Stegostoma tigrinum: one gene and its partner. The protein of the gene in region 1 interacts with the protein of each later gene in a biochemical or structural test. Links are inferred from orthologs where the notes say so. Each region holds a gene or a part of one and is shown on either strand. Other genes may lie near its edges.

What was found.
Region 2: the proteins of myo18ab (region 1) and golph3a form a complex in vitro, tested with the Homo sapiens proteins (2 studies listed by IntAct). The link is inferred for Stegostoma tigrinum from reciprocal best matches to the Homo sapiens genes MYO18A and GOLPH3.

What each region holds. Positions count from the first base shown.
Region 1 is NC_081380.1:29,903,957-29,919,353, reverse strand, and holds the start of myo18ab (unconventional myosin-XVIIIa), read left to right. Parts: upstream 1-6,838; 5' UTR 6,839-6,947; intron 6,948-15,397.
Region 2 is NC_081354.1:140,805,016-140,820,413, forward strand, and holds the start of golph3a (Golgi phosphoprotein 3), read right to left. Parts: upstream 6,028-15,398; 5' UTR 5,819-6,027; coding exon 5,624-5,818; intron 1-5,623. UniProt on the Homo sapiens protein: Phosphatidylinositol-4-phosphate-binding protein that links Golgi membranes to the cytoskeleton and may participate in the tensile force required for vesicle budding from the Golgi.

The DNA of each region.
Region 1 (15,397 bases):
CCCTCTATTAATAAAAGCTAAAACACTGTATGCCTTCTTAACAGCCCTGTCAACCTGGGTGGCAATCTTGGAAGATTGTGCTGATGAGAGTTACAGTAGGGGGATGCCTTGGAGAGATTTTAAAACAAGGATAAGAGTTTTAAGTTTGAGGCACTGCTTAACTGGGAGCTAATGGAGATCAGCAACTCAGATGAAATGGGTGAAGGGAATGTGGTGCAAGTTAAAAGATGAATAATAGCATTTTTGAAAACTGTATGTGTGTGGAAGATGGAAGATACTAGCAAAGTGTATATTAAAAAAAGTTTATAAAGGCCAGGGTGAGGATTTCAGGAACAGATGATCTAAAACAGGTAAAATTATGGAGACAGAAACGTACAGTTTTAGTGATGGAATGGATATGTGGTTTGCAACTTATCTCATTAAATAGAAAACCAAGGTAAAAAGTCAGGGAAACTTGATCAGTGCAGACAAGTTGGACCAAAGAGTCCATTTCCATGCTGTGCGACTATGACTCTAAGTCTGGTTCAGCCCCAGATTGATCAGATAAAGGGGTGGAGTCAGTGACTAGAAACACAATTTGTGGTGGAAGGTAAAGATAAAGGCTTTGGACTTTGCAATAGTTAAGTGGAAAAAGGTTCCATTTACCCAGTACTAGATGTAGGGCAAACAGTTCTAACAATTTAGACTATATGTGAATTGAGAGAGGTGGTGGTGAAGTTGAGAGATAATGGGAACTGCAGATGCTGGAGAATTCCAGGATAATAAAATGTGAGGCTGGATGAACACAGCAGGCCAAGCAGCATCTCAGGAGCACAAAAGCTGACGTTTCGGGCCTAGGCCCTTCATCAGAGAGGGGGATGGGGTGAGGGTTCTGGAATAAATAGGGAGAGAGCGGGAGGCGGACCGAAGATGGAGAGAAAAGAAGATAGGTGGAGAGAGTATAGGTGGAGAGGTAGGGAGGGGATAGGTCAGTCCAGGGAAGACGGACAGGTCAAGGAGGTGGGATGAGGTTAGTAGGTAGATGGGGGTGCGGCTTGGGGTGGGAGGAAGGGATGGGTGGGAAGAAGAACAGGTTAGGGAGGCAGAGACAGGTTGGACTGGTTTTGGGATGCAGTGGGTGGAGGGGAAGAGCTGGGCTGGTTGTGTGGTGCAGTGGGGGGAGGGGACGAACTGGGCTGGTTTAGGGATGCAGTAGGGGAAGCGGAGATTTTGAAACTGGTGAAGTCCACATTGATACCATTAGGCTGCAGGGTTCCCAGGCGGAATATGAGTTGCTGTTCCTGCAATCTTCGGGTGACATCATTGTGGCACTGCAGGAGGCCCATGATGGACATGTCATCTAAAGAATGGGAGGGGGAGTGGAAATGGTTTGCGCCTGGGAGGTGCAGTTGTTTGTTGCGAACTGAGCGGAGGTGTTCTGCAAAGCGGTCTCCAAGCCTCCGCTTGGTTTCCCCAATGTAGAGGAAGCCACACCGGGTACAGTGGATGCAGTATACCACATTGGCAGATGTGCAGGTGAACCTCTGCTTAATGTGGAATGTCATCTTGGGGCCTGGGATAGGGGTGAGGGAGGAGGTGTGGGGGCAAGTGTAGCATTTCCTGCGGTTGCAGGGGAAGGTGCCGGGTGTGGTGGGGTTGGAGGGCAGTGTGGAGCGAACAAGGGAGTCACGGAGAGAGTGGTCTCTCCGGAAAGCAGACAGGGGTGGGGATGGAAAAATGTCTTGGGTGGTGGGGTCGGATTGTAGATGGCGGAAGTGTCGGAGGATGATGCGTTGTAACCGGAGGTTGGTGGGGTGGTGTGTGAGAACGAGGGGGATCCTCTTGGGGCGGTCGTGGCGGGGGCGGGGTGTGAGGGATGTGTTGCGGGAAATACGGGAGACGCAGTCAAGGGCGTTCTCGATCACTGTGGGGGGAAAGTTGCGGTCCTTGAAGAACTTGGACATCTGGGATGTGCGGGAGTGGAATGTCTTATCGTGGGAGCAGATGCGGCGGAGGCGGAGGAATTGGGAATAGGGGATGGAATTTTTGCAGGAGGGCGGGTGGGAGGAGGTGTATTCTAGGTAGCTGTGGGAGTCGGTGGGCTTGAAATGGACATCAGTTACAAGCTGGTTGCCTGAGATGGAGACTCAGAGGTCCAGGAAGGTGAGGGATGTGCTGGAGATGGCCCAGGTGAACTGAAGGTTGGGGTGGAAGGTGTTGGTGAAGTGGATGAACTGTTCGAGCTCCTCTGGGGAGCAAGAGGCGGCGCCGATACAGTCATCAATATACCGGAGGAAGAGGTGAGGTTTGGGGCCTGTGTAGGTGCGGAAGACGGACTGTTCCATGTAACCTACAAAGAGGCAGGCATAGCTGGGGCCCATGCGGGTGCCCATGGCCACCCCCTTAGTCTGTAGGAAGTGGGTGGAGTCAAAAGAGAAGTTGTTGAGGGTGAGGACGAGTTCAGCTAGGCGGATGAGGGTGTCGGTGGAGGGGGACTGGTCGGGCCTGCGGGACAGGAAGAAGCGGAGGGCCTTGAGGCCATCTGCATGTGGAATGCAGGTGTATAGGGACTGGACGTCCATGGTGAAGATGAGGTGTTGGGTGCCAGGGAATTGGAAGTCCTGGAGGAGGTGGAGGGCGTGGGTGGTGTCACAGACGTAGGTGGGGAGTTCCTGGACCAAAGGGGAGAAAATGGAGTCCAGATAGGTGGAGATGAGTTCGGTGGGGCAGGAGCAGGCTGAGACGATGGGTCGACCAGGGCAGGCAGGTTTGTGGATTTTGGGAAGGAGATAGAAACGGGCCGTGCGGGGTTGGGGAACAATGAAGTTGGAGGCTGTGGGTGGGAGGTCCCCTGAGGTGATGAGGTCATGAATGGTGTTGGAGATGATGGTTTGGTGCTCGGGTGTGGGGTCATGATCGAGGGGGCGGTAGGAGGTGGTGTCGGAGAGTTGGGGTCTGGCCTCGGCGATGTAGAGGTCAGTGCGCCATACTACCACTGTGCCACCCGTGTCTGCAGGTTTGATGGTGAGGTTGGGGTTGGAGCGGAGGGCTGCCCGTTCTGCGGGGGAGAGGTTGGAGTGGGTGAGAGGGGTGGAGAGGTTGAGGCGGTTAATGTCTCGACGGCAGTTGGAGATGAAGAGGTCGAGGGAGGGTAGGAGGCCTGGGAGTGGTGTCCAGGAGGAGGACTTGTGTTGGAAGCGGGTAAAGGGGTCAGTGGAGGGAGGGTTAGGCTCCCGGTTGAAGAAGTAGGCATGGAGGCGAAGACAGCGGAAAAACTGCTCTATGTCCAATCGTGACTGGTATTTGTTGATGTGTGGTTGTAGGGGGACAAAGGTGAGCCCCTTACTAAGGACTGATTTCGGTGAAGTTGAGATGGCTCTCGTCAACACTCAAGTGGAAAGGGGTTCCAGAAATTAAGGAAATGAAATGCAAAGTTTTTGAATTTGTGATTTTGGAGGAGCTTGTGAGGTCGGTGACAACACGATTGGGTGAGTAGGATGTGAGAAAGAGTAGGATGAGTACTGGAGATTTGACCAAGTTGAGGCTATAACCATAAAAGCTTACAGCATAGTCAGAGCCATTCATCTTATCATGCTGTTCAGATTCTTTTCAAGAACAATCTGAAATTAATTCTTCTAACCTCAAAATATTTCAACTCTTGTATTCTCCAACTTTGCTTCAAATATTTATCCAATTTTCCATTACAAAATGCAATGTTTCTGATTCAACTCTTACTGTGTGAAATTTCTTCTGACTTCTCTTACTGACAATTTTAACTTGATGACTTCTCAATACTGACTTCTTGAACAAAGGAATCTGTTATTCCCCAATCATCTGATCAAGAACTTCAGTGGAAAATGCAAGTGACATAGTTTTCTACAATAGTTGTAAGTTTACTTATTTTAATAATCCACTGAATATGCATTCCAAACCTAATCTTTGTCCAAACTTTTTTAGGTTTGAAATTCAAAATTTTCCTCGAAAAATTGCTGGCACTACTAAAATCGACTATGAAACTGGTGGTTTGTGTTAAAATTCAATTGATACTTCATGATTTTCGGTGAAGGAACCCTGCATCTTAGAAGTTGCTTAGCAAGCCATGCAGTTTCAGGGATAGTCAATAGCTGCCAGTTTCACATCATGCAGCAGGCTTTGTGATGTATGATTTCCAGTCTAGAGGGGCTGAATTCCAGTTTCAGGTCTCTTATTTTACAACTGCCTGTATAATGGTAGCAGGCTAGCTGCTGTTCAGTTGGATGGGCTACCCTCCCACTCCCATGCTCCCCCACCCCAATCTCACCTTTTAGCCAGGAGTGAGAGTTTGTAGAACTATGGTATCCTGTAAAACCTGAGGCCAGTATTTCAATGCTCTTCTCCTAACTATAGGGCAAGATATTAACTGATTCAAACCTCACCCTGACCGTAACGAAAATTTGAGTTGACAGCATTTCATTGCTGGCATCATCTTGTGGTCCTATGCTGTACAGTCTTAATGCTTTTCATGTAAATTTAATAAAGAGGCAGCCAACACACCAGATGATTTTAAACTGTGGCATAATCACTGATTTGTAAATAGCAGTGGAACAATACAAGAAAGGGGTACTGTAGTTAGTCAATAGCGAGACACCTCGAATGAAGATAAACGTTGATAGAAGGTTGAGGAGGCCATTATAGCTTAGTGCCTGCATCCCTGTGAATTCAACTATCTCTATGATGCAACACATTTTCAGAGGAGCAAGGGACAAGGATTAAAATGTTTATTTACTATAAACAACATTTTAACTTTACAATATATTGAACGTACACCTTTAGTTCTAAGATTTGGAGAGTTCTCAGCAGTGAATGCATATGGCCATCTGAGAATTACAGGCATATGATAGGATTGGAACCTTTAATGATAAATCATCTGGTTTTGGAAAAAAAAAATCACAACTTGAATAGAATAGAATGTGGATATGAAAATATAAATGATAAGCACTGAAGGATTATTTAAAACATCTGCAGTTCCCATTATCTCTAATGAAAATGTTGCTCAGTACACACCAACAAGGTGTGGCTTTATGAGTGTGCTACTTACTTATTTATTGCTGTGTGACTATTAGCCTAGTTTCACAACTATTGCGAAATAAAGATCTAAGTCAGTCTATACAATCAGTTGTGCTAAACAGTGGTTAGATCTGCATTTGTACCTATGATTCCACATTAATGAGTTCTTAATCTATGCTGTTTGCATCTAGAAGAATGCAGCATAGATGTTTTCCACACAGTGAGGACGAAAAAGTCTCAGAGGACAAGTTACCCTGCGCTGTTGGAGACTGACTCAAAAACAAAGCTTGGAACAGCTGCTATCTCAGCTGGAAGTACTGAGGGTAAAACAAAATAGGATCTTCGTTTATTTTTCTTAATTCACTGTTATGGAGCAAATACATTAACAATACAATCATTGTACACTAATGGTTCCAATTTAGACTCCAATTAAGTTTTTTGAACATCAAACTTGGCCTAGCTATTGCGCATCTAAATGCAAATCTTGGGATTCAGCATTCTTCTGACTGGTTTAACCTGGCTTCAATCGCAAGATGCAATCTTTTCTTCCGGTTGGCCATGTACCTGAAATTCCTTTGCGATGACGCCTGGTGAATAGCTCCTTCTGCTTACCACGATCCAAAAATTGAGCGATTAGAAGTTCTGAATACCAAAACAAAAAGACAAATCGTCTTTTCTACGCACCCGCTTTGGCATAGGTTTTACGCCCCTTAACGCTATTGCGAGCAGCCCAGGGGAACAGCAGCAGATTTTTTTAAAGATAAGCTTTTATTTCATTTGATTTGAACACTTTCATTTATTATAAACCCGCTGCATGTAATTAAAACAAATGGCACGGCAGATGACGATGGGAATCGTCCAGGAGTTTGTCTGCCCCTACCTGACAGTTATCTCAGCACTACTGAAAACTTTGTTGAAAGGGGAGGAGCAATGAAAATAACATAAAATCCATTTCAATGAGAAATCATCTGCACAATTTGGTCTCGCTGCAGTGTTCGTACCAAACATATCGTATAGCTTTGGCATAATTTAGAATAAGCGGAACCTGTTGAAAACACAGTGACGCAAAACAAAAGAAATCCAAATATAAAGGGAATTGACCCAGATTTTGTCATCATTTCACAGCTTATCTCTGAAACCCCTGCCAGATATTACTCAACAGTGAATTCCCTAGTGTCATTGGAAGGATGCCAATAACTTTAAGCCAGGCGGTGCCAGGCTGGAATTGGAATGTATTTTCTCTGTATTGAGTTCTGTCTTAACCACACAATCCTTGAAGGAATCGATATCCATTTGGGAAATGAGAGTTTTAAAGTCAGGGCGGAAAGCAACCATCTCCATTTGGCTCAAAAACCGCTTTGCTTTTTTTTGACGAAGGCATTTTTTGGACAAATATTTACGCTGTTGACAAATCTGCTGGCATTGCTAGACAATTCTTTCTGCCTCTCTCCATTTTAATCAAGCTCTATACCTTTAATCATCTCTATCCCTCTCTACCTATCTTTCTCTGTCTCAACATTCCTTATTTTCCATACTTCGCTCGCGACCGATTTTTTTTAAACCGGCGATTCAAAAATTTCTGCAATTCCAGTTTCGGTGTTTTCCTTTAAAACAAAAAATGATCTCACGGTTCCACCGAGGTAGGGCAAAGAGGAAAGCATCTGTAACTCGGACAAAGGTCGGAACCCATCATCGGCGGCACGAGCCAGGTGATGCGGGCTATGCGAACGGGCACGTGAAACCTGCAGCTGCGCAGTGACGGTGTGACGGCGGCCCGAGCACGCGCACGCAGCGTCATTTTAACCGTCTCGGAGGCGCGCGCCGGCTGGCGGTGGGTCGAGCGAGAGGGAGGCTCGTGCTGTCAACGGCTGTCGAGCGGTGGCGGCGATACCCGCAAATAATGCACGCTCGTGCTCTCTTCGGTGAGTCTCTGTTGCCTATTGCTTTCGTTCAGCGTCATTCACCTACCCTTACCTGTTCCTATTTTATTTACGGGGGCGGTTTAATTCCGAGTGTGTCCGGCCCATCAGGAACACATTCCTGAGTGATATTGTGGGGCTTTTCTTTTGCATGTTGGTTTTTTTTGTGTGTGTCTGGATGGAAGGAAGGAGGGTTGCGTTTTCAGGAAGCGAATCGCCAAACGTTTCCAGGATGCTCCACCAAAATCAAAGGGCGGGGGTTTTGGGGGGCTCGGGGAGGGACAAGGTACTGCTGAAAGCTGAGGTCTCCAAGGGGAATTGAAAGCCGCCTGGTTCGACAAATTTGACAGTATTCTTTTTGTTGTCTTCATCTTTTCCCATTGTTTGTGAAGCATGTCTGTTTTGTTACTGATTTCGATTATAGGCCAAGCTCACCACTGTACCTACGGCTTTTTTTCTGTCTGGGAGTGGGGTATTTCACAAGGTGAAAAAGGTACAAGGCGGACTTAACCTTTAAAGGCACAATACCGTGCACTTCAAGGGACTAATGTCTCGAACAAAAGCCACTGATTTGAAACAAAACGTCAAAACTGAAAGTTATTGCAACAATTCGTGGCAAGTTTGACATATTGATGATTTATTTGTGTTCAAGCAATGCCAAGATCGCCTTTAAATCAGAAGTCACACAAAAAAGCAATTTGACTACCATCTCCGAAGGATATGTTGTTAAGTCTCCCTTTGCCTGAGAATACCGGTTGCAGTTCTGTGGAAAACATGGGCAATTATGGATTCACCCCTTCAATTTATTTACATCGTGTTTAATAATTTTTCTCAGTACATTCGAGGTGAATACGAGTTAAATCGATAGATGAACAACAGTTAAATCGATTTTGTCAATTTACTGAGGAGTGTTCTGTTTGTTTTGCCAGAAAGCGAGAATTATTATTGTTTTGAATTTATTTATAGTAAACATAGCCGCAGTAGCTGTTAACTCGCAAAAGAAAAGCTAATCCTGCATAATGAATTTTTGTTCACAATAAAGCTTATATGTTGATGTAAAGCACTGTCTAGTAATGCCCAAAGCACTGAAATAGTATTGCTGTCAGTTGCAACAAGATGTATAGTAACAAACTAATTTGATATTTAGTTGCATACTTTGGTACTGTTTACTTTTTTAAAAAAAGTCAACAGTTATAATTACTACAAACATAACAGTTTTGTGATTCAGTTTTATTATTTATTTCCACAAGTAAATGTTCTATTGTTTTCCTCACAGCAAAATTCTCTAATACACATGGATGTAATATTTTTAATCTTATTGTTAAAGATGAGAGTATATTTTTCTTCATAATCACCTAATAAAGGCCAAATAATTTTCAGTTAAGCCTTAAACTGGTATAATGTGCATACTGTATTTTTATGTTGATGACATTTACCTCCTCCTACAGAATATCTCACTTGAGTACTGATTTTTGAATAAAACAATGATGTTTTCTTGTCTACTACATCACTCAAATTTGTGAATGGATGCACAACTTGCTTTTGCTGATTTACACAAACATTAGCAACATAAACACTTCACAAAGTAGCTTTTTAATTGAACTAGAGATATGAATTGATATGTCTGTAACAAAATATTTAGGAATTTTCAGTGCTCCCTTTTTCAGGTACTATTATATTACAGTGTAGTGCAGTGACAAAACTTATACCTTTACAGCCAACTTTTAGAAATGTAGTGCTGATGCAGCACACTGCTCAAATATTAATGCATTATAAATAGTGAAATATACCTGTGTTTGATTTAAACACCGGTTTTGTGTACTACTTGTGGAAAAAAGGGATAACTTCTCTTTGGTATATGCACTCTTAGTTTTAACTAGCAGAATCAAGCTTGGATTGGAAGAAGCAAATGATTAAGTGCACCAGTGTACCATGCTTGGGAACATTAAGTTTAAAAAAATTTGAATTTTAGAAGAGCCACAATAAAAACTTGGAGAGAGTTGTGAAGATCACAGAGGCCTTCACAATTTAAAATGGAGCATAGCATGATGTAGTTTTAAAATTATTGAGGATCTGTATATCTTCCAAATTGTCCTAAAACTTGAACTTAGTTATGTAGCCTATTGAATTAGCAGGGTGAAATTTGCTGCCTTTTAGAACCAGTATAAATATATTTTAAATGTAGTCATGTTAGTAGTATTTTGTTCCAATTTTTTAACATTTTGTTCATTTTGAACATATTTTAATTAAAAATATAAAACTATGGCTTTAATTTTAAGATTAATAACTTAAAACTTGGGTTTTTCAATAATAAAAGAGAACCTCTGGAATGAAGTCGAGACCACACTGGTCACCATTGTTGCCTTTGTCTATGCAAAACTTTGGTGAGGATCTGCTGAGAGTGAGAAGATTAAATAATTATTTTTGCTTCAGATCATGTTTTTAAAATATACATTACCATTAAGATACTTCCTTGGATAAAAATGTTATTAGAGTTTCAACTTGACATGACCAAACAATCAAAATGGAAAGAATCTATATGCAAGTTAGCTTACTGTCTTTTATTGATGAAAATGTCAGCATCTTTTGCAAAAGATACAACAGCAAAGAAATGCGCAATATGATGGCTACATGAGGTGGAAATCAAGCCTGAAAAATTTAGTAGAATCCTTTGAGGCAATAACAAGACAGATAAAGGTGAAGTAGTTGATGTAATATATTTGAATTTTCAGATGGTTACATATTCGCCACTTAAGAGGCCACAGTGTTGGTGGCAGTATAGGAAACAGAATTGGGATAAGGAGGCAATTTTCATGCTGGCAACCTGTAATTAATGGTGCATCACAGGGATTAATGCTGAGGCTATAATTATTTACAACATATATTAATCACTTGGATGAGGAAAGTCAGTGTATTATAGTCAAGTTTATGGATGATACAAAAAGACGTGGAAAGACAAGTGGTGAAGATGATACAAAGAATCTGCAGAGGGATGTGGACAGATTAAGAGAATGGGCAAAAACTAGGCCATTCAAATATGAGGTGTGAGGTTTTGCATTTTGACAGAAAGAATAGAGGAGCTGGATGTTATTTGAATGGAGAAAGACTACAGCAGGATTATGGAGTTCTTGTCCATTGAATATTGACCTTTATTTCAGAGGGAATGGTATCTAGAAGTTACAAGGTTTTGTTTAAAGCTGTATACGGCTATCAGACTACATCAGAGATGACTGTGAACAGTTTTGGGCCCCTTTATCTAAGGAAGGATACATTGGCATTAGACACATTCCAAAGGAGATTTTCTAAGTTGATAGCAAGTATGGAAGGACTGTCTTATGAGGAGAGGTTGAGTGAATACAGCCTGTGCTATTTGGAATAAAAAAAGTGACCTTTTTGAAACCTGTATGATTCTTAGAGAACTTAACAAGTTTGATGTGGAAAGATTGTTTCCCTTGTTGGGGAGAGATTTTCTAATTGACCTATTCAAAGATGTTATTATACAACTGTGGTGGACTTCCAAAATGAATTCACTGCCAAAACCCGGAACTGAACTAGGGATCTTTAATTCTTTCACAACTGAGCTATTTCAGTGGATATGATCACAATACATTCCCATTTAAGGCAGAGATAAGGAGGAATTTCTTCTGAGGGCTGGAAATCTGTGGGTTATTTTTAAGCCAAGGAGGCTGGGTCATAGAGTCGTAGAACATGGAAACAGACTCTTCGCCCCAATTCATCCATGCTGACAGGTACCCTAAATTGATTAAATTCTCAATTTTCAGCATATGTCCCATATCCCTGTAAGCCCTTCCTATTCATGTACCCATATAGCTACCTTTAAAATGTTGTAATTGTACCCACCTCCACCATCTCTTCTGGCAGTTTGTTCCATACAAGCACCACGCTCTTTGTGAAATAGTTGCTCCTTATATCCCTCTTATCTTAAAGCTACACCTGCTAGTTTTGGACTCCCCAGCTGTAGGAAAACGACTTTGGCTATTCATGCCGTTCATGCCCTTCAAGATTTTATAAAACTCTATAATGTCACCTCTCAGTCCAGTTCACTCAACCTCTCCCTGCAGCTGACACCTTCCAATCCCAAGGGCGTCCTTAAACATTTTGAGACCTTTCACATTTCTCAACATCATTCCTATTGCAGGAAGACCGGAATTGAATGCCGTATTCTACAGTCACTTCACTAACATCTTGTACAGGTGCAGCATGACATCCTAACTCCTATACTCAATGTAGTGACCAATGAAGGCAAGTGTGTCATATGCTGCCTTCACCACCCTGTCTACCTGCGACTCAACTATGCACCTGCACCCCAAGGTCTGTTTGTTTGGCACCACTCCCCAGGACCCCACCATTAACTATAGTCAAAGCTGAGACAGAATTTTTTTTTTAAATCAGTAAGAGAACTGGGGAGAAGGTAGGAAAATGGATTTGAAGTTGACCAGATCAGCTATGAACCAATTGAATAATGAAGCAGCATTGATGTACTGAATATCCCACATCTTATCACCCAACTACTGACCAAAATTAATTTACTTGCAGTGGTGATTTCTGATGTCTCAGTCAGCTTATTGTATACAAGTTACCTACTTTTTAAACATTTATGTCTTAGAAAATAGGAAACTTGGAGGTCAATTTTTAACTAATATCAGAACACTGATATTGACTGTGCAATTGTATCAAATCTAATTTTGTTCTGATCTGAGACAGAAAACATTTACGAAAGATTCAAACTCTGAATTAGAGGTTGACAGGTGGACATAGCAAGATATCCTGTTTTTAAAACTTTTCACTGTATCAAGTGACTAATACCTGGACCAGGTGGACTGCAGTGGTTCAAGAAGGCAGCTCGCCACAACCTTCTCAAGGGCAACTGGGACAGACAATAAGTACTGACCAACCAGCAACATCCATATCCCACAAACAAATTTTAAAAGAAAAAACGGTATTGAGCAAGCACACTTTTTTGCTTTGGTTGGCAAATTAGGCTTTAAACTACAAAGAAGATCATTCCCCGTTATAGTTAAGAGATGTTTCATGCTTTATGAAATTACAGTTCTGATAGTGAACAGTCTCTAGTTCTCAGCTTACAGTGGGTTCCCATATCCCTGCTTCACTGATGAGTAAATTTTGGTGTCCACCTTCAGGTGTGCTAGTTAGTTAAAGAATTTCTCAAGTTTGCAACCAGCTGTAAAGCCTATTTTGATCAGTCTTTCCTTTGTCCATGTGCTTCTTAGACTAAAGACAATCTTCCTCCTATACCAGCTGTGGTACCCTACACAGCTAAAACAATCTTTTTTTGAGGCTGGAATGCACGTTGTTCCTTTCTTTTTAGAACAAACAGCTGTACTTGGATATAACCGAAAGTTGGGGCTAATATAAAAGCTCATAAAAGTAACATGAAGGATCTAAAGTTAAGAATTAAAGTAAGGTCTCCAAAGACTAAAGGCAAGAACTTTGCATTGCGATGGGAATGTTTGAAGCAAAATAAGATCAGAGCATAATTAATATTCTTTAAAGATGGGGAAGGGGAAGTCAACCTGAGCAGGGAGACCGAGGATGGAGCAACAAGGATAGAAACAAGAGACAGAAAGCTAAGGCAGAAAAATTGAGGGCAGAAAGCATGTGGGACCATAATGCAAAGGAAAGCTCAGATGACTAACAAGTCAGGTCTAAAAGCTTTAATTCTTAATGGGCGGAGCATTCGTAATGAGGTAGATCAATTATCAGTGCAAATACTCGTCATGATGTGGCTGTGATTATGGAGATGAGGCTGCAAGGTTACCAAGGATGGGAACTCGCCATTCAAGGGTATTCATTCCTTTGGAAGGACAGAAGAAGGGAAAAGAGGTGCAGTAGTGTGGTTAATAAATTAGTAAAATAATGCATTAAAGACTACTGTTGGCTTGGAAAATCATGATGTGAAATATGCGTTGGTAGAGATAAGAAACACGGGGACAGAAAATGTTGCTGGGGATTGTCTAAAGTCCCCCCGCAGTAATAGTGGAGATGCAAGATAAGGTATTAAACAATAAATCAGAGTTGTGTGCAATAAGAGTTCATCTGTAATCATGAGTGGCTTTAATTTAAATTTAAATTAGACAAATCAAGCTAGAAATACTATTGTGAAGGAGGAATTCCAGGAATGCGTATGTTATGCTATCTTGAGTGATCGTTATATGACATTCACTGAGATGGAAAATGAAGTAGCTGAATCTGAGACAAGGGTCCAGAATCAAAATAGAGGGAGCTGTGAGGGTATGAGGCATGAGTTGGTAAGGATGGATCAGGGAACCTCACTAAAGTGATTGATGGAAGTGTTGTGGCCCGTTCAGACCCCATGCAAAATATTTTAAGGAGATAACCTAGGCCCTGATTTTTTTTTTCTAATTTTAAGGGTAGGTGTGAAGTGCATTTCCCGGATGTGATGCAACATGTCAAACTAATTAAGCAAAACACAACTTATTTAAATGCTATAGTTAAAATACAAACCAAAAAAATGGGAATTCAGAATAGCTTAACTATTGAAAAATGTAACTGAAGATTATATACAGTACCTATTACTAATTAACTGTTCGAATATAGTAACATACCTTAAGCATACCCCTTGACAAAAAAAAATAAATTCAGACACTGATTCTTACATGCAGCCCTCCAATCCAGGAAGAAACTGTATTGAGAGATTTCAGAGAAAGTGGCAGCTAAGAATCATTTGCTGAAGCTTCCACCTGTCCTGGGATCCCAAACAGCTTCTGACTGCTCAAGCTAAAAGTAACGAGAAAGTTTAGTCTGAGAGAGCTGGCCTCTCCTCGTCTGTTGTTACCGCAGTTTTAAAAAAAAACCTAAAGACCTCCTAACTTATTTACTTCAGCTGTTTTCAGTAGCCAGTTCTATACCTCTGCCTTTACAACGTCTCTTCAAAAAAACCCAAGACAAAATAATCTTTTCAAAGTGACAGTTTTGTCACAGTACATAGACAATAGTTTATATGTAAATATCTTGCACATGAATCACAACTATTGTCTGACATGAAAATGAGAGAGGCAAGGTAGCTCAACCGTGGCCGACAAAAGGATTTAGATTCAAAGAAGAGATTTTCAAAATTACGAGAAATAGAAACAAGCATGAGGATTGGGAGCATTTTAGAATTATGCAAAAGAGGCAAGGGCCTGGACAAGAGGGTGAAAATACACTGGGTGAAATTCCAGGGAATGTCACACTGACCATAATAGCTTCCATAAATATGTGAAAAGAAAAAGATTAGTAAAAGCAAATGTAGATCCCTTAAAGCTAGAAGCTGGGAAATTATGATGGGATATGAAAAGTTAAAGATTTGAACATTTACTTTTGTTCTGTCTTTACAAAAGAGGCTACAAATAATGTCCCAGAAATGTCAGAGAACTAAGGGTCTAGTGAGATGATGGAATTTAAGGAAATTAGTATTAGTACGAGAATGGTACTGGGGAAATTAATGGGTTAAAGGTTGACAAGTCATGAGGTTCTGAATGTACATCAAAGCGTTATAAAGGAGGTGGCCCTGGAAATATTTAATGCATTGTTGGTAATCTTCCAAAGTTCTATAGATTATATTAAAGATTGGAGAATGACAAATGCCACCCTATTATCTTTTAAAATAAAAGGGAGGGAGAGAAAGCACAGAATTACAGAGCAGTTAGCCTGTCATCAGTAGAGGGGGGAAATGCTTGTGTTTATTATTTTTAAAAAAGAGTATTTCAAGATCATTAAGTTTGGACAAAGCCAACGTGTTTAGGGCAGACAAATCATGCTTAACAAATCTTTTCAAGTTTTTTGAGGTTGCAACTAGTAGAATAGATAATGGGCAACCAGTAGATGTGGTATATTTACATTTTCAGAAGATTTTTGGTACGGCTCCTCAGAAGAGGTTAGTGGGAAAATTTGATGCACGTTGTATAGGGAGTAACATATTATTGGCATGGATCAAGAATTGGTTAATAGAAACAGTGGTATTTTTTTCTGATTGGCAAGCAGTGAATAGTGGGCTACTGTAATAGTCAGTACTTGGGCCTTATATAATATATCCATATAGCTAATATCCAGGATGAGGTAACTGAATTAACAGTTTCAAGTTTGCTGATGACAGAGAATGGATGGAGTTGTGAGGTGAATGTAAAGTGATTTAGACAAACAGGGTGAGTACGCAAGCATGTAGCAGATGCTGAGCAGTATGGCTAAAAATGAAGTTATACCCTTAAGTGTGAAAAACAGAAAAGAAAAGAAATATTTAAATGGTATTATATTGGGAAGAGTGGATGTACAAAAGGATCTGGGTGTCCTTTGTATATTGATCAAAGAAATTAGGCACATGCAGCAAAAATTAGAAAGGCTGATTGTTTATTGGTTTTTATTGCAAGAGAATTTGAGTTCAGAAATAGGAGTGTCTTTCTGCAATTGTACAG
Region 2 (15,398 bases), on another chromosome or scaffold:
TGTCTTTCAACATCATCTCCAAAATTTAAGAGTTCTGCCACCCACAAGTGCAACAAATGTATGGAAACACAACACCTACAAGTTTCACTTCAAGTCACACATCACCTTGACATGGAACTCCAATGCCATTCCTTTGCTGCCACTTGTTCAAAAACCTGAAATTCCTTAACAGTACTGTGGGTTTACTTACAAAATGCAACAGCTCAAATTCACCATCTTCTCAGCAGCAATTAGAGATGGACAATAAATGCATTGATAACATCCCACAAGTGAATTAAGGAATAATGAATAAGGTAATAAGAAATAAATCAGTTAGGAGCAGCAAACTCAACTATAATGGCCCTCAAAAATTGTACGGTAGCAGTAAGTTGAAAACTTAACAAGAAATAATTAATTTTGTTTTGTCACTATCTTTAATTGTTTCCCCTTCTGTTCTTGATTTAAAAAGTATGGTACAAGGATTTTCAAACATTTTTAATTCAAGTCATTAACTTGTTGTTTTGTACATATCTTACATCTGGAATTTCTGGCTCAAATTAATATATTTGGCTTGTATGCAGGATCAAGTGAAAAAAATCTGAATTAGGCAGACAGAAAGAGTGGAATGGGCATATTTTCAGCAGCATTTAAAGAAATCACACTAGTCTACCACACCTGAAATACATTAATGTCTTTGAAATTAACAGGTTCAATTAAGATGCCAAAATTTGCTGGCACTTGAAGATTTTACACAGTTTTTCAAATAATCAGAGTGCTAAACTGTAAACTAAGCAAAGTTTCAAGTCAACAGCTTGAATTCTACAAAATTTATCACGATACAAAAATACACGCTCCAAATACTGTTTTTCTCAAACTGCACCCTCAATTCAGAGTAGATGAAGGGTTATGGGGAGTGGGCTGGAAAGAGGTGTAGTTGAGGCCAAGATGATATCAGCTATGGTCATATTGAATAGCAGAGCAGATGAGAGGTGAACTACAAACTCCTGATCATTGTTTTCATACAAAACATCAGGATAATATGCTATATATAATAACCAGAGATAATGGGAGCTGCAGATGCTGGAGTATCCAAGATAACAAAGTGCGGAGCTGGATGAACACAGCAGGCCAAGCAGCATCTCAGGGGCACAAAAGCTGACGTTTCAGGCCTAGACCCTTCATCAGAAAACCTCTCTGATGAAGGGAGTAGGCCCAAAACGTCAGCTTTTGTGCTCCTGAGATGCTGCTTGGCCTGCTGTGTTCATCCAGCTCCACACTTTGTTATCTATATATAATAACTAGTTTTCTTTACGGGAAAAGAATTTTTTTTAAAAAACAACAGACAATTTAAACAAAAAGGTCCTCCTTTCTGGGAACTTTCAAAACAAGTCCAAAGGCACAACTTATTTCCAACAGTGTACAATATCTGGTAGGATGAATCAGTCATCTGGAAGACCTTGGCTTTCAACCCCATCTGTTTCTTGGGCTTCACTAAATGATTTGATTACCAATCAGGAATCTGCCATGTATAGTTAGCATGAAAATCCCAAATCTCAACACCTTTTTCTCCATTACGTGTAGAATATACTGAAAATACTTATCTGGTAGAATGTGTGCACAGTAAAGATATTCAGATCAATTATTTTTCATGTTTTGAAATGTGAAATGTTGGGCTAGATTCTTTTGTTTTCTGACTTGGCAGACTCTTCTCTGTATAAACAGCCTGGTCACAAGCAATTTTGCTCTAGGGAATCGATGGGAATAGTTAATCTAATAAACTCTGGAAGGAGAGTGAAGGCAGGGTCAGGAAGAGTGGTTGATTGCCAAAGCAGGCTGGTTACAAGGCATATCTCGAGGCATTTAAAAGCTCTTAGTTGCCCTTACCCCTCATCCCATATCCTATTCCCCTGCCCCATGCTCACCTACTGTACAGTCAATGAGCCATAAGTCTTGGAATATGGAGTAGAAGATAAATTTTTAAAAAACCTGTTCTTGCAACCATACATCTTAATCAGGTGGAGCCATTCATAGTAGCTATCCCCCAATGCACACCTCTAATATCATGCAGAAAAACAGACATTGACATATTAGAACAAGTAGTAAGCCATAATCTCAAAATGCACCAAATGCTCAACTTCCACCTGTTGAATCATAACACCTCCAAGCAAATCCATTGCAATATGTTCGAGTTCAGCTCTACAAAACAATCGTTGTAAGGTCATCTGGGAACTGTATCAACAGAAGTAAGTGGTCAAGCATCTATTTCTTCCTATTTATGTGGTTTCTTAAGAGTGCATGCCAGGTGAGTGGACTTGGTAAACCGTTTAAACAATTTACAAGAGTTTCCTGAATACTGACTATGATTCTTGACTATTCTAAGTAACTATAAAATCACAGGCTGCCCTGAAGCTGTCTTGAGGCCACAACAATTGAGGGAATAGAATTCATATTTTATTTATTGTCAAATGTATATAAAAATGTAGTGAAAAGTGTTTTCACACATGCAAGCGCAAAATGTCACCATGCTCCAGCGCTATCTTGAAACAGTGTACGTAATGTAAGATTTTACTGCAATAGATCCTTCTCTTCTTCATCGTTACTTATCTTAACATAGAGCTGGTTGGGCTAGTGTTTCTCTTCCTACAGATGCCCCCAGACATTTATTTCCAGCATTTTTCTTGTTTTACTTCCAATCTTAAACACCAGTTTTCTACTTTATTCATAACACAAGTGAAGTGTAAATCAAGGAAACTGAAGAAGGATCCTGACAGAACATGCTTTTTTTAGCATCTAACATTCCAAAAAATTGGAGCAGTTTCCACGGAAGCGCTTATAACTTTCAACTGCTGCACTAAAAACAGATAGCCACATGTGTTTGACTCAACTTCATGGCTGCAGTTTTGACTTACCCAATTCTCGCAGTACGTTTGAGTGTTGCTATTTTGCACTGTAAGTAATCTTAAAAGAAACCTCAAACTAAATAACTTAATATAGGTAAGCATTTCTAAATTTATTCTGGATACTGAAATTGCACAAGGAAGTTACTTAATAAATGAAATCTAAAACATCATCTAATCGATTTTTTTTCATAAAAGTAACTGTAGTAGCAACCTACATTAATGGGGCAAAAGCCATCATTTGATGACTGTAATAACAACCAATACTGTTTTTTTTAAAAACAGAAAATTGGGCAAGTCTGACTTTATTCTTGGATTTAGATCAGGACTATTCCAAAACAAAAATCACTCAGCAAACACCAACGTAGAACAATTATACCTAAAAAAAAATCTAACTTTGTAAATGATTTCTTTACAATTATTTTATAATTAGCACTTAAGAGCCTCAAGCATTTTTCAAAGGAACAGAAATCATACTGTCATGCAAATGCGCAAGTTGAAGTATTTTTAAACTGCAAATCATGTATCAAGATTCAGTTCCTACAGAACTACTGTATCAGCAAGCCTTTCACAACTCTTAAAATTTCAGCAAAGTTGTTGCACTGCATGTAGACTACAGTAATTATTAAATTATGTCTTGCAAACTCAGATGAAAATAAAAATTAGCATTGTGAAACTACACAGATCATCCAATATTGAAAATTAAATAAAGTTATGTTCACAAATCATTCCCACAATTTATACCAAAATGTCTCCAACCTTGAGCGCTTCAAATTTAACTCTTTGCAATCAAATTTCTGTCTCTGCCACAGTACTAAAATAGCCTCTATCAAAATCATAAATTATCTCATGTTAACGTCAAAGGCAAAACATCCCCACAGATCCTAGCTGCGGCTGACCATGTCTTCCATCTCCAACACCTCACCAATCAGCCAACTAAACAGATTCGCAGTTGACTAATTATATTCATATCTACCTACTCATATCAGAGGATCACCTGCAATGCTTCCAAATCATTATATTTAGATCCTTTAAAAGGACACCATCTTTGCAGCACCTCCTTTTACCTATCTACAATGCTGCCCATGACAATTAATCACCAAAAATAAAATGTCAGTTTTTGCACGCAGGTTGACAACACTCAGTTTTACCCCGTCACCACCGACATGACATTAGTTCTGCATTGCAGAGACTCTTGTCCAATACTCAGGACTGAATGAGCGAAAATTCCAACAACTAAATGGAAGACTCTATCCTTCACCCTGGCAAGTGTTGGGGCCAGACTGTTCATAACTCCAGCATCCTGTGGTAACCTTAGTAAGCTAGCCTAAAATAATTCTACAGCAATTTCATCTAAATGCATAAGTTTACTGAATTGCTCCAAAACCATCAACAGCTTCAAACACTTGAAGAAAGGCAAAACATACAGTCTTGCAAATGCAGAAGCTGAAATATTTTTCAACTAAACCTGTTTCCTGTATCAAGACTCAGAGTTCCTCTGAAATTAAGATTTCTTAGTCAAGAAATCTATCGTTGTCTCTAGTAAGTCGGTGTGGCAAAACCTGGCTGTTCGCAACTCCAGCATCTTATAATATCCTTAGCGGAGCCTCTGGTCACATATTGCACCATGACTAACAACCCTTATACATTAATTACAATACCCAACTTCATCCCAGTATCATCTGCTTTTGCACACCTCATCCACTTCTTTGTTGCACTGACAATGGAAACACACACCTGGTCAGTATTATCGTCCATAAAAAAAAATCAAATTTCTACCTCCCATATACTAACACAGAGTTCCATTCACCCATCATTGTTTGTTAACTTAGTGTGACTTTTTGTTGAAGCAACTTAGTTTTAAAACACAACTATGTTTTGACTCCCTCCATTGCTTCACACATTTCTGCTCCATCTCCAGCTAAGAACCTTTCAGATGTGATCTTCCAGTTTGACCTCGAACATCCCTGATTCTAAATGCTCACTTGTAGTCCAGCCTTCAGGGGTCAGTGATCCAAATTCTTGCATTTCTTTTCTTAACTCGCTCATCCTTCTTCATTACATTCCTACTTTTCCTACCTCATTAAACGGGCATTTAACCAAACCCAATTATCCCCTTGGGCGGCTAAGAGTCAGTTGTTTTGCAAAGTTCCTGTGATGCGCCTAAAGACATTTTTCTACCACGATCCTGCTGCACAAACATAAACTGGTATTGTTTTGTGTTGTCTGAACTTGACAATCCCAGGTTCCTCTTAAATTTCAGATTTCCTGGTGTCTCTATTCCCTTGCACAAAAGTTGCGCTATTCAGTTCATCACCCCACTAGAAAAATGGCCAAGTCTTTCTTATAAACGGCTCCGCACTTAATACTTTTTCTGTACCAGTCTTCCCATCACTAACATTTGGCTCTCAGTCAGCTTGTAACCGGAACTGAGCTGGTGTTCAGTCAGCGCAGGTATTGTGTACAGAAGCAACCACACTTGATGAGCAGTAAGAACCACCCTCCGTCAGTCCTATTGGACTAACTCCATCCCACCATCTATCCCCGCAATTACACCCTTCAGTACTGGTCAGTAAACACCTCAATCACTCTCGAACCCGCCTCTCCCTTCAAACACCCTCCGTTCAGGTTAGGTTGACAATCTTGCGGGCCTACACTTTCACACAAAATCAGACCGTCTTTAACCTGAAGAGGAAGGCATAGCCATGTTATTGCCGCTCATGGAAACGGAATAAAATAAATAAGACCTCCCGATCCTTCAGGCCCAACAGCAGGACCTCCTCCATCAGGGTTAGACGAGTTTCTTTAGAGTCGCCTTTTTCGTCTTCCTGCTCATGCTCGGCCCTCCGGTCGTCGTCGCCGTCGGGGATTTTTTCCGCGTTCCTCGAAGCTTCGGTCTTCCTTTGGACGAGGCCGGAGCTCCTCTGAGTGAGAGTCGACATGGCTCGAGGAGGATCGGGGGTCGGCCGCTAGTTTCTGTCTTGTCAGGAAGGAGGCTTCATAAATTTGACAAGGAGGGGAGCGGTTGTTTTCGCTCAATACCGGCAGTACAACATGAAAACTCCGGGCAAGGGGGGAACCAAATTTCCCGTCGCTGGATTTCTTTCCAGCAATATGGCGGCGGCAAAGGAAGCGGCCAGTCGGCCCTGCTGACGTCACAGTGGGATGTGGCAGACGCTGCCGAGCGTCCCTTAAAGAGGAGGGCGGGGCGAGGGGGCGGGCTGAAGGGCGAGAACCTGTAGGGGTGGGGCCGGGTTGGCTTGGAAGAGAGGGTCAGGGGCCGAGTGGGGGTGGTAGGGGAATGAGGAAGGCGACGGGGCTGGATAGCGTGTGCGGGCAGGGCAGTGAGTGAGTGGGCGGGGCTGGGGACGGCTTGCGTGTAAGAGAGGGGCGCGGGGCTAAAGGGGTGGGGTTGGAGTGTGAATGGGAGAAGAAGGGGCGGGTCTGCAGGGGAAGGACGAGGAGAAACCGCGTGAGAGCTTGGAGCGGGAGGGGCGGGGAGAGCGGCACTGGGATGATGGAGGAGGCGAAGTGAACGGGAGGAAGAGGCGGATGAGAGGGCGGAGCTGGAGTGGGAATGAAGTGTGTGAAAGGGTGGAGGAAGGGGGAGTGGTGTCGGGTGGGTGGGATTGGCGGTGGAGTAGGGGAAGGTGTATGGAGCGAGGAGGCAGTGGGATTGGAGGGACAGAGAATCTCGACGTGGAGATGGCGCAGTCTTGCTCATCTAATGTTGTAGGTGAATTTTAATAATCCTAAATTAATATTTGAAGACGGTTATGGTATTTTGGGTAGAGTTCTAAAGAAGGATCACTGAACTCGAAATTTTAATTCTGTTTTCTGGCTATAGATGCTACCAGACCTGCTGAGTTTTTCCTGCAATTACTGTTTTTGTTTCTGTCTTCTATTAGCTAATCCTCTATCTATGTTCATATTTTATCTTTAATACTATGGGCTGTTGCACTACTGTGTCTTTATCTACCTTACTTGTACCTCCTCAAAGAATTCTAGTATGACAAAGCCAGCAGTTATTGTGCAATACTGTTTCCTTTGGAGAAAATGGCAGTGAGCCATTCTATGCCTTTTTAATCACCTTGGCCACCTATGTTGCCACTTTTAGGGACCTGGATCTGCACCCCCAGATCCGTCTGAATGTCAACCTTCCTAAGGGTTCTGCCATTTACTGTATAATTCACGCCTAAATTTGATGCTCCAACCCTTTCAATTGTCTGGATTAAACTCCATCTGACATTTCTGTGCTAAAATCGCCAATCTATCTGTGTCCTGTTGTATCTTTTCACAATTGTCGGCACATCAGAAACTCCAGCAATCCTCGTGTCATCTGAAAACTCGTTAATCAGACCACCAACATTTTCCTCCAGATCATTTATATATACTGTAAAGAATAAAGGACCTAAGACTGACCCCTGTGGAACACCACTAATTACCAGTCTACATTCTGAAAAACATCCTTTCATCACTACCCTCTCTCTTCTATGATCAAGCCAGTTTTGTATCCATCTAGCCAGCCCATCCCAAATCCCACATGATTTTAGTTTTTGTACCAATCTGCCATAAGACTATAAGACATAGTAGCAGAAATTCGGCCATTCAACCCATCGAGTCTGTTCTGCCATTCAATCGTGGCTAATAAGTTTCTCAACCCCATTCTCCCACACTCTCCCCATAACCCCTAATCCCTTTGACAATCAAGAACCTATTTGTCTCTGTCTTAAATTTACTCAATGACAACCTACACAGCCTTCTGTGGCAGTGAATTCCATAGCCCATTTCTGATGAAGGTCTAGGCCCAAACCGTCAGCTTTCCTGCTCCTCAGATGCTGCTTGGCCTACTGTGTTCATCCAGCTCCACACCTTGTTATCATAGATTCACCACTCTCTGGCTGAGGAAATTTCTCCTTCTCTCTGTTCTAAAAGGGGTTCCCTTTACTCGAAGCCTGTGCACTCGTGTCCTCGTCTGTTTTACCAATGAAAATGTCTTCCCAACACCCACTCCGTCCAGGCCCTTCAATATTCTGTTTCAATTAGATCCCCTCCTCATTCTTCTAATCTCCAATGAGTATAGTTCCACGTTTCTCAGATGTTAAGCTTTTCACTCCTGGGACCATTCTCGTGAACTTCCTCTGAACCTGCTCCAGGGCTGAGATAAGGGGCCCAAAACTGTGCACATTACTTCAATTGTAGCCTAATCAGAGCTTTATAGAGCCTTAGAAGTACATCCGTGCTTTTATTTTTAAATTATCTCAAAAATAAATGCCAAAGTTGTATATGCCTTCCCAACTACTGACTCAACCTGCAAGTTTACCTTGAGAGATTCCTGGACTAGAACTCCGAAGTCTCTTTGCATTTCAGACTTCTAAGTTTTCTCCCCACTTAGAAAATAGTCTATAGCTGTATTCTTCTTACCCAAGTGTATGACCTTACACTTTCCCATCTTGTACTCCATCTGCCACTTCTTTGCCCACTCTCCTAACCTATCCAAATCCTTCTGCAGCCTCCCTGCATCCGCAATATTGCCTGACCATCTACCTATCTTTGTATCATCTGCAAACCTAGCCAGGATGCCCTCAGTTCCTTCAGCTAGGTCATTAATGTATAAGGGTGGGACTATCAAATGCATTACTAAAGTCCATATAAACTATATCCACAGCCCTTCCATCATCAATTATCTTTGTCACCTCTTCAAAAAATTCAATAAAGTTGATGAGACATGACTTTCTTCATACAACATCATGTTACCCGTCACTAACTACTACACTTTTTTCTAAATGAGCATATATATTGTCCCTCAGTATCTTCTCTGAGAACTTCCCCTTTATAGGCTCACCTGCCTATAATTTCCTGGATTATCCCTACTTCCTTTCTTAAACAAGGGAACAACACTGGCTAATCTCCAGTTCTCTGGAACTTTACTTGTGGGCAAAGAGGCTGTGAAGATATCTGCTGATGCCTAGCTATTTCTCTCCTTACCTCTTGCAGTAACCTGGGATAGATCCCATCTGGTCGTGGGACTTGTATATTTTTTTGTAATTTAGGAAACCCAAAACTTCCTCCTTCAATATATTGACATTCTCTAGGGCATTCACATGCTCATCCCTGCCTCTGCGTAAGTCATGTCTTTACCTTGGTGAACACCAATACAAAGTACTCATTAAGGATCTCCCAAACTTCTTGTGGCTTCCCCATGTATAACTTCTCACCTTTATCCTTGAGTGGGCCTGCTCTTTCCCTTACTACCCTCTTCCTTCTAATATATGCATAAAAAGCCTTGGGAGATAGAAGGTTTGGTAACATGGTGCAATGAAAACAATCCCTCAACGTTTGCAAAACTAATCTGACTTCAGAAAAAAGGGAGGAGAACACACCCTCATCTACCTCAACGGAACTGAGGTTGAGAGGGTGAAGAGCATCAAGTTCCTCGGAACAACGATAACCAATGACCTATCCTGGCTATCCCACGTAGATGCGACAGTCAAGAAGGCACAACAAAGCCTCTACTTCTTCAGGCCGCTCAGGAAATTTGTCATGTCCATAAGGTCAGTTACCAACTTCTACAGCTGCACCACTGAAACCATACTGTTGGGGTGCATACTGGTGTGGCATCTGCTCTGCCCACGACTGTAAGAAACTACAGAAGGTGGTTAGCACAGCCCAGACCATCATGGAAGCCAACCTTCCATCCATGCACTCTATTTACATGGCTCGCTGCCGCAGAAAGGTGGCCAACATCATCAAAGACTCATCTCACCCCGGTAATGACCTCCTACACCCTCTTCCATCAGGCAGAAGATATAGAAGCTTGAACACACACGCCAGCAGATTCAGGAACAGCTTCTTTCTGGTCTTTATCAGACCGTTGAATGGACTCTAGCCTCAAATAACGTAACCTGCAATATAACCTGGATGCCTCAAGTCTTTTCAATCTGTACATCCTTTGCTTGCTGTGATCTGCCTGTACTGCTTGTAAACAAAGCTTTTCACTGTATTTTGGTTCATGTGACAAAAATCAATCAATTCTCCTTGACCCTGTTTGCTAAAGACATTTCACGATGCCTTTTAGCCTGCCTAATTCCACATTTAAGTTCCTTCCTACTTTTTCTATACTCCTCAATGGTTTAGTCAGTTTGTAGCTGCCTGGACCAATTTTGTGATTGCTTTTTCTTTTTGACTAGTCTTAAAACTCCTTTGTCATTCATGGTTCCTGAATCCTGCCATTCCTATCTTTCAGTTTTGCAGGGACATGCATGTCCTGCACTTTAATCAACTGGTCTTTTAAAGCGTCCCACAAGCCAGATGTAGATTTTCCCTGAAATAACTGCTCCCAATCCACATTCCCCAATTCCTGTCTAATGTGGATGGAATTGGCCTTTGCCCATTTAAACATCCTCACCCGAGGTCCTTATCCATGACTATTCGAAATCTTATGGAGGTATGGTCACTAGTTCAAAATGCTGACCTACTGAAACATCAGTTACCTGTTCTGGCTTGTTCCCTCATACCAAGTGTGATATTGCCTCCTCTCTGGTTGGACTGTCAACATGCTGTCTCAAAAAGTCCTCTGGACACATCTAACAAATTGCTCTCCATCCAAGCACCTGGCTGTAAGGGATTCCCAGTCAACAAGAGGAAAGTTGAAGTCACCCACCCTGCTTTTTTCACACCTTTCCAGCATCTGACGACGTATCTGCTCTTGTGTCTCCTGTGGGCTGTTGGGAGATCTATAGAAAACTCCCAACATTGTGATTTTTCCCTTCCTATTCTCGAGTGCCACCTATAATGCTTTACTGCAAGATGTCTTCCCTCAACACAGCTGTGGCATGATCCCTAATCAGCAATGCAATCCCCCAACCCTTTTTTTTTAACCCTTCCTGTCCCTTCTAAAACAGTGATATTCTGGAATGTTAAACTGCCAGTCCTGTCCCTCCTTTAACCATGTCTCCACAATGGCAATAACATCATAATTCCATGCAGTAATTAATGCATTTAGTTCATCTATCTTAACTGCCTCACTTTTTACATTAAAGTATATGTATTCCAGACCTCCAGTCCATCTGAGCACCATGACTTCCCCGTGTCTGCTGTTACTCTGTAGTATGAATGTCTCAGTCTCGCTTTTGTCCCCAGCCCCTGCGCTTACTGGCCTGTTGTTCTGATTCCCACACCCACCACACTAGTTTAACCCCCCCACCCCCTCAAGCTGTCGGTGCCCCTCCAGTTGAGGTGCAATCCATCCTTCTTGTATAGGTCCCACCTTCCCCAGAAGACATCCCAATGATCTATATAGCTAAAGCCTTCCCTCCTACACCCACTCTCTCGCCACATGTTGAACTGTACTCCCTCCCTGTTCCTGGCCTCACTAGCCCACGGCACTGGTAGCAGTCCCGAGATTACTACTCTGCTAGTTGTTTTTTCAAGCTCCTTACCTAACTCCCTGAATTGTCTTCAGAGGCCATCTTACCTCTTCCTACCGATGTCATTTGTGCCAACGTAGACAATGACTTTTGCATATTTTCTTTCCCATTTCAGGACATCCAGTACCCTGGCACCAGGGAGGTAACACACCATCCTAGATTCTCATTCATAGCCAGAGAAACGACTGTTTGTGCCCCTATTGAGTCACCCAATACTCTTACTCACCTGGACTATGCCTACCCTGCTCTACAGCAGAATCAGTTGTTAGATCTTGGAAAGGTCCTCAGACAGGGCTTTGTGAGTAGAACATGGGAATGTTAAGGTGGCAGCCAGTTTACTGGGAAGGTATTTTAGGCTCCAAAGAGTCATTAGGAAAGAGGAGCAAATATGTAGACAGTTCACAGAAGTGTGTAGAAGTAATAACAGGGCAATTATACTAAGGGATTTCAACTTTCCCAACATAAATTGGGATAGTCATAGTGTTAAGGGTTTAGAGGGGAGAGGGTGGATTATTTGAAATGTATCCACGTGAATTTATTGTATCAAATTATTGAAGGCCGAAAAAGGGATGGTGCAGTGCTGGAACTGGCTCTGGGGAAAGAAGCCAGACAAATGTTAATGTGACATTGGCAGAACATTTTAGCAATGGCAACCACAACACAGTATAGTTCAAATTTGTTCTGGAAGTGGAAAAAGATGGCCTGCAAAAGATGGCTTTGGATTGGGCAAAGGCAGATTTTATTAAAATAAAGCAAGATCTGGCCACTGTTGACTGGGAACAGCTCATTGTGGTAAGTCTTCAGCAGAGCAATGGGGTAGCATGTATTCTTTATTGGGAAATATAGGAGCAATAAGTTCAGAGAACCCTGGGTGTCTAGGACAATTCAGGACTGGACGGGGGAGAAGAGAAGGGCTTTTAGCAAGCCCAAAGCTATCACTGCCACTCTGCTCCTAGAGCAATACGGAAATGCAGCAGTAAACAAGAAAGCAAGTAAAAGAGCAAAAAGAGGGCATGAGAAAGGATTTTCCCTAATTCTGTTCACAAGTCCTAAGATATTGTGTAAATAGATTAAAAGGTAAAGAGGTTAAGCAGGGAAAGAATAGGAACCAAGGAGGCAACCGGTGTGTAAAGCTACAGGATGTTGAAAGGGTATTAAATGAGATCTTAGGTCTTCCCTCTAGCGAGGGAGAATGTAGATTGGGAATTCAGGAAAAGGGATTGTGAGGAACTTGCACAATTTGACATAGGAAATGGGAAAGTATTGGAGGCTGTCCGGGCTTGGATGAATTGCTTCTCAGGTTGCTGTGGAAGTTGAGGGAAGAAATTGCAGGGGATCTAACACAAATTTTAAATTTACCTCTGTCCAGAGGGAAAGTGCCAGAGGACTGGAGGGTGCCTGATGTGGTTCCATCTTTCAAGAAGGGTGGTAGAGATGAACCACAAAATTACAGACTGGAGAGCCTCGCATCAGTGGTAGGGAAACCAATGGAGAAAATTCCAAAGGAGCAAATGAATACCCACTTGGAAAGGTACGGGTTAATTAGAAATAGCATGGTTTGTCAGAGGGAGGTCATTCCTAACAAATTTGTTTGAACTTTTTGAAAATGTGATCATGCGTGATTAAGGGAAGTTCAGTTGATGTAATTTATATGGATTTTAGCAAATCTGTTGACAAGTTCGTACATGGGAGACCGATTGAGAAGGTTAAAGCACAAAGAATTGAGGGAAACTTGTTGAGTTGGATCAGAAACTGGCTTGGTAATAGGACAGAAAGGGTAGTGGTACAAAGCTGTTTGAGTGACTGGAGGCTGGTATCTAGTGATGTACCACATGGATCAGTACTGGGACCATTATTATTTGTATGCATAAGTTAGATAAATGAAAATGTGGGAGGAATGTTAAACAATTTTGCAGAAAACGCCAAAATTGGTAGCTTGGTTAATAGCAAAGAAGACCATTGTAGGTTACAGGAAGCTATTGATGAGTTGGTCAGACAGGTAGGCCAGTGGCAAATAGTATTTAACCCTGCTAAGTACAAGATGATGCATTTTGGAAGAAGTAACAAGATGAGAGACTATTTATCAAATGACAGGACACAAGCTTTCTAAGAGGAAAGAGAGGGATCTTGGTGTAATTATTCACATATCCCTGAAGTTAGTAGAGCACACAAATAGGATAGTTAAGGAGACATATCGGGCACTTGCTTTCATCAGTCATGGCATAGAATATAAGAGCAGGGAGGTAACGTTGGTGTTGTACAGAACATTGGTCAGGCCACAGCTGGAGTTAAGTGTGCAGTTCTAGCCACGTCACTACAGGAAGGACGTGCTCGCACTACGGTGGGGGGGTGGGTGGGTCCATTCAGAGGAAGTTCACCCTGATAGTGACTGGGATGGAGAAATTGAGCGAAAAGGAGAGACTAGATAGTCTTCTCCACTGTAAAGAAAACAATCCCAGCCTGAGAAGGGAAATGATTGAAGCGTATAAGATTGAGGGGTATGGACAGAATGAATAGAGAACACCTATCCCCTTTCATTGAGGGGTCAATCATGAGACGGCATAGGTTTTCTTAGGGTAAGTGGCAGTAAATTCACAGGGAATTGAGGGAAAGAAAAAAGTTTTCCATCTGTGGGTAATAGGAATCTGGAATGTACTGCTTGGGAAAGTAGTGGAGGCTAGAAACTTTACAACCTTTATAAAATATTTGGATGACCACTTCAATTATTGTAACAGTCAAGAACACGGAACAAGTGGAAGAAATTGAGATTAGCACACCTTTAGTGGTAGTTATGTCAGTGCAGACTTGATGGGCTGAAGGGCCTTTTCTGAGCTGTCTGAATCCATGAATCTACCGAAGATACAAGAATCTAAGTGGAGAATATTCTGTCATATTGCAGACATGTGCCTTGTAGCTGGTAGACATCAGATGGAGAATTGAGGTATGAATTATACGTTGGCAGAATTCTTAAACTTTAACCTGCTCTTGTAGCCACAGTCTTTACATGTCGGCTACAGTTTCTGGTGAATAGGATATTGATAATGATGGATTCAGCAAAATAAAACAAACATTCAGCATTCAAAGGCATAAGACCAGAGAACGAGGTACAAATGGATACAATTGCAACATTGAAAAGATATTTGGATAGGAAAAGTTTACAGGGATATGGACCAAGTGCAGGCTAAATGAGCTTTAAGAAGTCTGAGGGCAGTGCTGCAGTTTGCAGTGTGTTAACGGGAGCTCATCTTCTGCAGTTTCCCTAAACTGCAGTATATTTAAATCACAGAGCTGATGATGTTGATGCTATGCCTTTGAATGTAATCAAACTCCTGTCCGCCTCATTTTGCAGGAACCTCCCCAATATCCTAATTTTGTTGAATAAAACTTGCAAAACATTGGAATTGTCTGGGATCAGTTTGTTCAATTCTGATATTTAAAATACCGTCACCTGTTGGGGCACAGCTTAAAATGTCTCTAAAGCGTCTCTAAAACATGCTGAGATAACAAGGTGTAGAGCTGGATGAACACAGTAGGCCAAGCAGCATCATAGGAGCAAGAGAACTGATGTTTCAGACCAAGACCCTTCTTCAGAAATGGGGGAGGAAGTGGGTTCTAAAATAAATAGGAGAGGGGTAGAAGATGGATAGAGGAGACAGATAAGTCTGAGAGGCAGGGATGGAGTCAGTAAAAGGTGAGTGTGGATGGGGAGGGATGAGGCTAGTAGGTATGAGATGGGGGTGGGGCTTGAGGTGGGAGGAGGAGGAGGAGGAGATATGTGGGAGAAAGGTCAGGTGAGGGAGGCAGGGAGAGCTGGGCTGGTTTTGAGATGCGAAGGGTGGGCAGATTTTAGAGCTTGTGAAGTCCACATTGATACCATTGGGCTGCAGGGCTCCCAAGCAGAATATGAGATATTGTTCTTGCAATCTTCGGGTAGGATCATTGTGGCACTGCAGGAGGCCCATGATGGACATGTCGTCTGTAGAATGCAAGGGAGAGTTGAAATGATTCACAACTGGGAGATGCGGTTGTTTAGTGCGAGCCAAGCATTGGTCTTCCGCAAAGCAGTCCCCAAGCATATGCTTGATTTCCCTGC